2 linked regions of the Neodiprion lecontei genome follow. The protein of the gene in region 1 purifies or fractionates together with the protein of each later gene. This does not show direct contact. Links are inferred from orthologs where the notes say so. Each region holds a gene or a part of one and is shown in the gene's direction. Other genes may lie near its edges. The genes, in order: neurogenic locus Notch protein and protein disabled.

What was found.
Region 2: the proteins of neurogenic locus Notch protein (region 1) and protein disabled purify together in Drosophila melanogaster (affinity purification with western blotting; 4 studies listed by BioGRID). This does not show direct contact. The link is inferred for Neodiprion lecontei from reciprocal best matches to the Drosophila melanogaster genes N and Dab.

What each region holds. Positions count from the first base shown.
Region 1 is NC_060261.1:15,201,951-15,206,892, reverse strand, and holds the start of neurogenic locus Notch protein, read left to right. Parts: upstream 1-1,935; 5' UTR 1,936-2,192; coding exon 2,193-2,280; intron 2,281-4,942. UniProt on the Drosophila melanogaster protein: Essential signaling protein which has a major role in many developmental processes. Functions as a receptor for membrane-bound ligands Delta and Serrate to regulate cell-fate determination.
Region 2 is NC_060264.1:4,777,196-4,782,451, forward strand, and holds the start of protein disabled, read left to right. Parts: upstream 1-2,056; 5' UTR 2,057-3,383; coding exon 3,384-3,420; intron 3,421-4,432; exon of another isoform or gene 4,433-4,435; intron 4,436-5,256. Other genes in the region: 3-ketoacyl-CoA thiolase, mitochondrial, read right to left, coding at 134-265, 358-524, 1,768-1,786. UniProt on the Drosophila melanogaster protein: Together with Abl, involved in embryonic neural development. May have a role in eye development. Acts as an adapter protein for SH2-domain containing proteins during sevenless (sev) signaling.

The sequences.
Region 1 (4,942 bases):
ACAAATGGAAAAAATTCATTCCCACACGAAGACTCATTGCGAAATCTGAAAATCGGTACATTCTTCACGGACAATTCCCATTTCAACAATTTCAACATACCAACACCGAAACAACTAATTCCGCCATTTTTCGCAAGCAAACCGTAAGCTTAATTGTGGAACTAATTTTATATATATTTATACACACACTTCGACTTGTTTCCAGTATCCCTTGATAAGTATTAGCTTGTCATAATAAAATTATTAAATTGGCACTAATATAGTTCGCGTTGCGCGTGAAGCACGAGGATTACGTAAGATGGGAAAAAAGAATGTAAAAAAAGAAAGAGCAAACGAAATTTATATTAATTTGAACATCTATCTTCGGTTTGACATAATGTATCATTATTTATTCATTTCTCAAGGCTCAAATGTCTATTATTAACGAGCTTAAATTACCTTCATTAATTGTGTATACACACGCGATATCTCATTATATCGAACTGGCTGAAACAGTATTATAATGTAATGTATAATAAACATAAACGCTTCGTCCATAATTAGTAGTTAGGTTGATGTCGCCAAGAGCTTCTACATAGTTTCTATTTTAAACGAATTTTCAAACTCGAACAAATCTTTAAATTAAAGAATATCATTGCAAGACAGAGTTAATACTGCACTCAGAAAAATAAAGTGAAACTGAAGCAAATAAATTTTAGTTGCGTACAAACAAATTAAAAAATTTATCTGTAACGCATAAATCTTTACTTGAAATAATGAAGTATTCCATTCTCATAAATTTATATTTAGTTGACAAGATTTCATTTCAACTGTCTGAAGTAAAAAGATTCTTCAAATTTAATTAAGTCGATATTTACTGTAACAAAATTTTTAGTGAGTTCATATAAGATAAAAAATTTAGCTGCTTTCAGCAGCTATGCACGTTTAACTTCTCTTTTCTATGTTTTCAGAGTAAAAAGGAAGTTATTGTAATAGCTCCGAAAATGAAAAGTTGAGTTCTCACTAGATCTGCACGTTTTAAAATCTAGAGCATCACGATTTTAATGTTTTTGTCGCAATTGATGCGATTTTTCGAAACGTAGATCGGATTATATTTCGGCTTTGATTGGTTCATTACATGTCGAATTATTTAAATAACAATATTCTTACAAATAGAATAGAAATGATACCTTGAAAATGGGTGAACAAATTTGCATGATCATTTGTGTCATTACTTTAGATTTTTATGTCGCAAATCACGAATCTCGAGTTAAAAAAACTAAAAACAATTGGATTTTGATGAAAATTTATACTTGAAGGTTTTTTGAGTCGGTGATCACGAATCAATGAGATCTGTAAATTTTTCATTATTAATATCATTCTTATTATTTCAGCTCGAAACGAGTTTGCAAACGGCAAGTTGAAAGGCTGGCTCATGGTCAGCCGAAACCCGCTTGTTCTTGGTGCATCGCGAATAGGATTACATGTACCTAAGAATCTGATAATCTCATATAAAGAAGATCGTATGAAGATTGTATTTCATTGAAGTGTTCGATAATAAACCAACGTATATTAATATTTGTACAAGAGTTTATAGCCAAGCAGGCCCTTCGGAGGCAGCGTGCGGCAGGATTTTTTGTCCCCCGCGGCATAAATGGAGGCGGTGTCACGTGACGGAGGTATTTAAACGATACGAGGGGACCGAATGAGAAAAAAGCGGAGGGCTGCAGGGCGTCGAAAACGGGCACTCGTACAATTTCATAGCGTAGTTCGAACGGAACCGTAGAACGCATCAACCCCTCGATTGGACAGCGGGATTGGCAGATGGTGTCGGCCATTTTGTGATCGGCGGAGTGAGACAAGCGTTCTCGCTCGAGATGCGCGCGCCGTTCCGGGACTACTTTCAGCGCGTGAAGTGAACAATAGAATCCCAGACGAGTTTGAGCCGCGGTCATGTTCGTATATGAGGTCTGTGTCGTTGTTTTGCTTCACGTTGTTCAGCTCGCGTAATGTAAACACGCCGCCGGAGCAGCAGCAGCAGCAGCAGCAGATTGAAGTTACGATGAACATTGAAGTTACCCGGGTGTTAAACGATAATGGACTGTAGCCGGTTGCACTGCACGGTATCGCATTATGTTATTATAGTGATTAAGTGATTGTGTGATCAATTGTCTGATGTGTGTGATCTCTGTGTGGATAAATTCTCCGCCAACATGCTCCGTCTACAGCGGAATATGGATTACGCATTGACGATCGTCGCTCTGGCTCTTTTCGTCGCCAGTCTGCCGGCCTCGGTTCACGGTGAGTTTATTCTCATCGAATAAAACGGAAGAATCCTCCGTAGTCGTCACCCGGAATTTCAAGTTCCCCCTTAGAATGCGCGTGTGCGGAAACAAAAAACTCCCCGTCGCGACGGCAGCTGCAGGCTGTGCAACAGGTCTGAAAAGCGACGCGGGTTTCTCCGCGCCGGCGCGACATTTTCGAACGCGCTGTCCTACTTAAAAACTCGAAAACACCCCAAAGTCGGCAGCCCGGCTTCGCCGAGCGAATGCCTGCCTCAAGTATTCCTGCATTAGCATTTCAGGGCGCGTCGCGAGGCGTCGAGTTGCTGCCATTCCACTACTACCTGTCCCGAAAATATACCCGAATAAACCGCCACCTCGAAAATCTCTTGATTCATCAATGTAACCGCAAGCATCCGGTTTTTCCATTCATTCTGCGCGATGAAAACAAATCTGACATTTTCTTTTTCCCTTCCGCCGCGTGCTTCAAATTTCGATCAAGCTTGATCAAAACCTCTCGCCGAAGAGCGATCTGAACTTTGCATTTAAGCTTTGTCAAAAGTCACGGTAAACCATAAACTTACGTTTAAATATTCCACTCAAATTAAGTGAAAACTTGAGTTTTCTATCAAGCTTGATCGATCGAAATTTCTACCGTAACATTACATTTCGCCCGATTCTCACCGAACACGCAACTAAGGCATTGAATAATTGAATACATAACGAATCGTTTTACGATTCCTGAATGAATTAGAGTTCGAGTTCCTCGCTCTGCGCAAATTCGTTTTTACGACCGGACCGGCTTTCAGCCTCACGCACAGCTAGTCCTGCTTGCCTGAGCGAGTGAGTGCTTATAAAATGCCGAATACACGAGTCACGTGGTCGCGACAGCGGTTCTCAATTGAAAAATCGTCTCGCGTGTGCGTACCGGCTTTTTCCGTCACAGGTTGGGACTCCCTGTTGAAACGACAGGTGTTCAACCCCACTTTCCACGAAACGAATATCTTTCTTGTTGGGTTTATTACGTACACGTATATGTATATGTATATAGACTTTATTGAACTCGGGCGTTGATATCCAGGTGAAATTTTACACTCACCGCATTATTAGGACCGTTTAAAAATCTGATGAATTTTACAATAAACTCAAAGCAAATCGTTTCCCAAATTTTATTTATCCGTAATTTTGTAACAGGAAATATATCAGTTTTGGAACAACTTTCAAATTATTTACAAAAGTCGGATTACCCTTTTTCCAGATTACGCGTTTTAAGCAATCGTTATATTTCCATATAACACAATCAACCTTCTACTTGAATCGTGATAGATAAAAATCACTCACGCTATTCCAAAATATGAACTAAATATAACTTGACGTTCAACATTTTCAAAACTCTTTTATAAAATCAACTGTAAAATCACCGTCGTAAAAAATATACAACTTGGAAGTTGCAAAAAAAAAAACAAGATAAAAAAATTAAAACAAGAACTATTGCGTGCTATTATCCCTCCTAAACTTTTAATTACAGTCAGAGCAACTGTATTTCATGTGAACGTTTCATATTCTACGGCGTTAACTTTTACAGTAATACGCGGTACAGAAGAAAAAATTCGTTATAATTGTAGCGTCGTTTCCGGTGAATTCCGGCGAGTGGCGAATGCGTTAATGCATACAATAGACCCGTCCCAGCCGGAATAAAGAATCCGAGAGAAATGAAGCGCGAGTAAACATGGCGCACGGTGGTTCGTCTGCGTGTCGGCTGGAATTCTGAGGCGAAATAACTAGGCCTTGCTCCTCGCCTCGGTTTCCATCCATGCCTTCCTTGCGCCCTGGCTTACAATTAGCTTACCTGGAGTCCGTCTCTCCGCTGCATCTGTGTATATGTGTATATATATACACACACATATGCGTATACATATGTGTATATACTCATAATCCACATTCACTCTAGGCTAGACCAAATTTACGGATGTGTTGAACTCGTATTGTATATAGGTATGTAATACCGATGCCGCACAGAGGTTGTCGGAGTCTCAACAACTACGGAACTATGTTCTCAGGCTTTCTCTTCTCTCCTTAGAAACCTATCTTCGCCTCTCCCATTGCCGTGTGTCTTATATATAATGTAGGATTATGTGTATTGTTCTCTATACATGTACGATAGATTTTGACCATTATTGATGAATAAGTTGAAAATAAGTATTAGTCAGGTTCGATGAATTGATTCAAATTTTATTCACAGTCGTATAAAATATAACATACGATACATGATCTTTGTTCAATGATTGGAAAATTTTACAAAATCTTTGTCATTATTTTTTTTATTAGAATTGATTATACAAAAGTAGTGACAGAATAGTTTTTTTTCTTTCTTTCTTGGGTGAAACTGGTGTGATGGAATTAAATTCCAAGTTGAATATAAAATTATGCAATCGTTGAAAAGATTCTTTGGGTTTTTGAAGTTACGTGTAAGAAGTATTTTTTTTCTCCATCTTATGCGATAAAGTTAACTGGCTGATATAATAATGATAACGAAATTCTTGAAACTGTAATGTAGACTGCATTTAAGTATGTGTTATATAATAAGATGGAGTTGAGAACTATTCAAAAACATCGATATAAGAGCATTGTGATAATTCAATGCATAGATATCCGAATGGTCAGAGCGTAAGATTTGGCGA
Region 2 (5,256 bases), on another chromosome or scaffold:
AAAAAGGTCTCTTATCATTTTATGATAAATTTATTCCTCAAATAACCATCAACCGTTCGAAAGAGTGAATTGTTAGGAATTAATTTATAAAAATTTATTTTTTATTTTGAAACACCGTAATTTATATACTCACTTGAGCTCCGTTAACAATGGACTGAAATCCGGATCCGCATAGACGATTTATTCCAAGGGCGGGTCTGTCCAGAGGAATTCCACTTTTGAGGAGAACATGTCTTGGGAGAAATGCTCCGTCAGACGATGTGTTCTGGAAACGTGTTGGAATGAGATTTGAGAGATGATTTTATGGAGAGACAACGTTTACCGCAACGCAACATTCGCGAGTCAAATTTTACGTACCACCAACACGTTTCCGATTACGACACTGTCGATCTGTTCAGGTTTCAATCCACCTGCTGTTATCGCTGCCTTTGCAGCCACTTCCTGAAGCTCGATCGCAGACTTGTTCACGAATTTACCACCCAGTGTCCCGAAAGGGGTTCGCTTCGCGGCGACGATGAATATTCCTTAAACAACGATAATACGGTTATTGATTAATATATATGATCTCGAGAGCTTTGTCGATTTTGAAAATTGAACGAGGATAGTTATTCCGAGTAGTCGATTGGATGGTATTTTTTTTTTTTTTTTTTTTAATCACAAGCTCGACAATCGAAGTGAATTTTAGCAGGTATAAAAAAATCGAACGGATGCGGTAGTATTTTACTTTTAAAAACAAACGGTTACAAACGTTTGAATATTAATGAAAATTGAACGATCGCTGCTCCGCAAATATGTGAAATAATATCTTCAGATTACTCAATTTTGAACTGTAAAATTTGAACGTGTAATCATTGACGCAATTTTTATCTTCAATTTATGTTGTTATTGAAAATAATCTCTGATATCTAGTATCGGAACGCGTTCAGCATAGCAAAGTCCACGGGGTATAATTAAATACTCTAGATAATAAAAGTAGTTACAACAATACACGATACGTTTCAACGTGTATTATTATTTCTATTACGTGCAAAAGGTGTGGATAAAATGGTGCTAAAATTGAATCACAAGAACATCTGCAAACGGAACGAAGCTTAAACAAATAATACGACTCGTGGTCACAATTTCGAATAATACGTTTCACACGTAACGTTTGATAAAATGTGAGGTTGATCAAAATTATCTCTGGAAGTTCGCGTCTGAAGTCAATTGGAGTAAAGTAAGAATCTGAATGAAATAATAAAGTTAAAAAAAATCGTTCCGTTTGCTGTGGCGCAATATAAAATTCCATAGTCTAGAGTTCGAAACATTGCGCAAACTCATGTTACATTACACATAATATATCATTCGAGTTAAAATAAAGTCACGCCAAGATTACGTTACAATTTGAATGACAGTTAATGAGTTTCAAATAACAAGTCTCACTTGATCAAAATGGAAATGCTTCCGAATCGGGCGGTCAAAATATTGGCTCAAACGCGTTCCGCGTATCGGTCAAGGAATAAAAGGTTTAATCGAAGAACCTCGACTGACAATGAGTGGGAGTGACGGAAAAATGAAAAATAGAAAGATCGAAACGAGTCTCGATGGTGAGTTTACACTCGTTGAGCCAACAGAGAAAAGGAACAGTTCTGTGAGTTAATCCAGCCGTCGAGACGAGTCTGCCACTCGAGTGGCTCTGAGAAGAACCTCCGAAACGCCCTAATTCGTCAACTCAGACAATTTTTGGGGACTTGACCGAAATTGATATAATAAAAGAAAGTATCGTACCTTTGGTGGCGATCGACATGATTTCTGTTTTCTGACCTACGTTGGACTAACGCGTTAATCAGAGAAGTTGAGTCTTATTACAAGCCATCAAAGGTCCAAAGTCCACGCAGGCTCCCCACTATCCAATATGAAACGTCGTTTACTGTGTTTCGCATACGTATCTTCACGGCTACGCTAGCGCCTTGAATTCCGTTGCGGAAATTCCGGCAGCTAAATTCAGCTGATGAATTCCTGGTCGTGGTTTTAAAAGGTTTTTCAAACATTGCTTATTTTTTTTACTTTAAACTTGATTGAACAGTGTTTTTCTTTTATTTTTTATTAATTTTTTTTTCGTTTTTACTAACTGGCAATAATATATTAAATTTAAAGTTATCGTTGTACCATTTTTTAATCAAAAATTTGCGGTCCGTTGATATTCGGATGATCGAGCCGTTTTAGACGCGGTCGGTAACTTACCGACACGTATTATACGTGACCTGCGTACGACGGATCTACTCCGTTATCTCCTCGACGGATAAAAAAGACGCGCATACGTGAAGATTTAGCGAAAAATCGGAGCGATAAAACGGGAGATTATATTCCCGTGGTTGACTCGACAATGCGAGAGGAAATAAATCGGACAGCGTGCAGGGAGTCTATGAAACAACCCACCTCAAGCATACCTGTGTGTATACAATTGAAAGAAGGCGTGGATCGCGTGATTTGGAACGCAATTTGAAATTGTGTGGAAGAAAAGGCGCGCCTTCGGATGGCGTTTTCAATGCACCTCGTCGGACAAACGTAGCCGCGTTGCGTAATCGCTAAGCGGTCGAATTCACCGCAACGGTATTACGGCGATGCGGTGTGTATAGGAGCGAATTATTTCACCAATTGATTTCAATAAACCGCGTGGGCCAAAGCAGTGGCCATTTTGTAATTTCCCGGTGCAATCAGCTTGCGCGGCGTCTCGCCCCGAAATATCTTGCGGAATTCGTCTCTAGCCGCGGCTGATCCACGCTCTCGAATTCTCTCACTCGCGGAAAAAAATTCGCGAACAATCGTCGAAGACGCGGATTGGACAGGCGACGCTTTCGCGGTTCGAACATTATACCGTGCATGCCGAGACGGATCCGCTCGGTACTACCGCTCGACTGTATTATTGATCAATGGGGTTGCGGGCATGGAAGGAAGGCCAGTGCCGGCAGGCAGCTGTCAGATCCCCCTAAATTTCCACACGCTTATACAGCCGTGCCGCGGGCTTGATTATCGGGCCTTCAGGCCAGCCCGAAATTTTGGGCCCCGCGAGCGAAAGTCCCGCGATTTAGCCGCGCGCGATATTCCTCGATTGTTTTTACCCACGGGGTTGAAATTTCGCTCGGTGGTTGTGACGCGGTATGGTTATTGTGATTGTGCCTGTGACACACCGTGCGAATCCTCACCCTTTTCGCGATCAACGGTTAAGGCGGCGAAACTCCGAGGATATTCAGGGCTCTCGGACCTGCGGTATCGAGCTTAGCGATGAATCGGTGAACAGGAGGAGACTAGGGACGTGAAAAAAGAGAGAACCGCAAGCTCAGGAACACCGAGACGCAAAAATTGCAGGCTTTTTGAACGGACGTCGCTACGCCGGTGGCCTGATGCAGACCCTAAGGAAGAAGAACAGCCCCTGCAAGTGTGAGTAGATTTGCAACAGAAAAAATTCCCACTCGAATTTCAAAATTTACTCATCAAACGATATCGCATCCGTGTAACAACAATTCGCATTAATTTTTCGGTTCACCCGCCGCTGCGCTAAATTATACGTGCAGTTTTCATTTCGTTACATACTTCGTTGCAGCGTCTATTTCCGGTATCTCGTTGCGTATCGCAAGCGAGTAGGTTCAACGCACCTTTCGTCTGGTAAGTTGAAACCCCGCAGGTGGGTATAAGGTGTTTAATTACACCGAGCCGTTTCTATTCCGAGGAGATCAATTTTTATCTTATAAAATAGTTAATGCCTTCGGCGGCCCGCTCGTTCAACCTACGGCGGAGTAAGCCTTTGGCAGGCAACTGTATTTCCAACTCTACAACGTGGATTTAGTTCCATATCTCGTTGACAGACGGCGCCAGCGTGATATTTTCGCTCGCGATCAGGTTAAAGCGGCAAACGGTTCTCAACTTGTACTTTTACCGTCATTCGAATTTCAGTCACTTTCAAAGTGCGGCGATAAGATTTCCTTTTCTTTTTTTTTTTTCTTTTATTTTATACTCCTCAAACCATTTCGGAACTGCTCTACATTTTACGGTTTTGTTTACCGACTATAGTTTAATATACAAAGATGACAAAAATGAATTAGAAATTTATTGTCTTTCGAAACGATACTCAATTTTTGTATTTTTAATTTGTGAAATCATTCACTGTCTTCAACTCTTTGGCGAAAAACTGTCGAATACCAGCTAATTCTGTAAAAACGAAAAACACGAGGATGCGATACTTTTTTGCCAATCTGTATCGATCTTCTTTTATTGACGAGAAAAATCATTTTCTTGTTTGATTAGCTTGATCAAAAAAGCTAAGAATTGTTATGTTTCTCGAGACCTTGAGCTGTCATTAAACATAATAATCATAGCAACGTATTTAAGCTGAATAATTATAAATATGAATTATTATTTTCCCATGCATTTACCGAATTTAAATACTGCTCACGATCTCTCTCTATCTCTTTTTTAGTTTTTTTTTTTGATTTTTAATAATTCTCACCTCATTCATTTGTTTATTTATTCACTCACCTTTTTATTACTTTTTATTTTAATTTTGTGTTTTAATAACCATCTGACCTCATAAGTATGTCCCAGGACGTATAAACGCCTCTCTCTGTCTCTTTCTTCAAAAATGAAGAGATTATGTTCCTGAACGGATTTGTTAAATTTTTATACACTCCTCGAAGCCTCGATACCTCATATAAGCTGTTCTCGAGCTGAGGAAAGCGAATTAGTCGAACGCCATGAAAGCAGATGAAATCAATTGTCAGCATTTTCCTTTTCCCTTTTCCTTTTCTTCGTCTGCTCTTTATTCCCTTTCTCTTTTACACGGTCAAGTGGCTCGCCGCAATCTCTGGAGCGATAGAGTATCTCAATTTAGGCACGTTCCAGGCATTGCCGACGTTTTATATATTACATATGTATGTATACATATATACATAGCTATCATGGGGTTTCGTGCACCCTGTGTCATTATACACATCCGTTCGATGACGTGGTTTCCGTTTTCCAACGATGTTATTATACCCACCTGTCGTATTTTTCCAACCCTCCATTTTGCCAAGGCAATTAATTTGTACGCTTGTTTGACATTGGTTCGTAAAAAAAAAAAACAAATCGATTCATTTTATGAATTTTATCTCGTACGATAATCGTACGTTGAGTATTGTCTGTAAAATTATTGTACTTTCGTGAGCTACTGGGAGGTATCTTTGAAAATACAAAAATTAGACAAACCTGAACTTACAAATGAAACTTGAATCATATTTT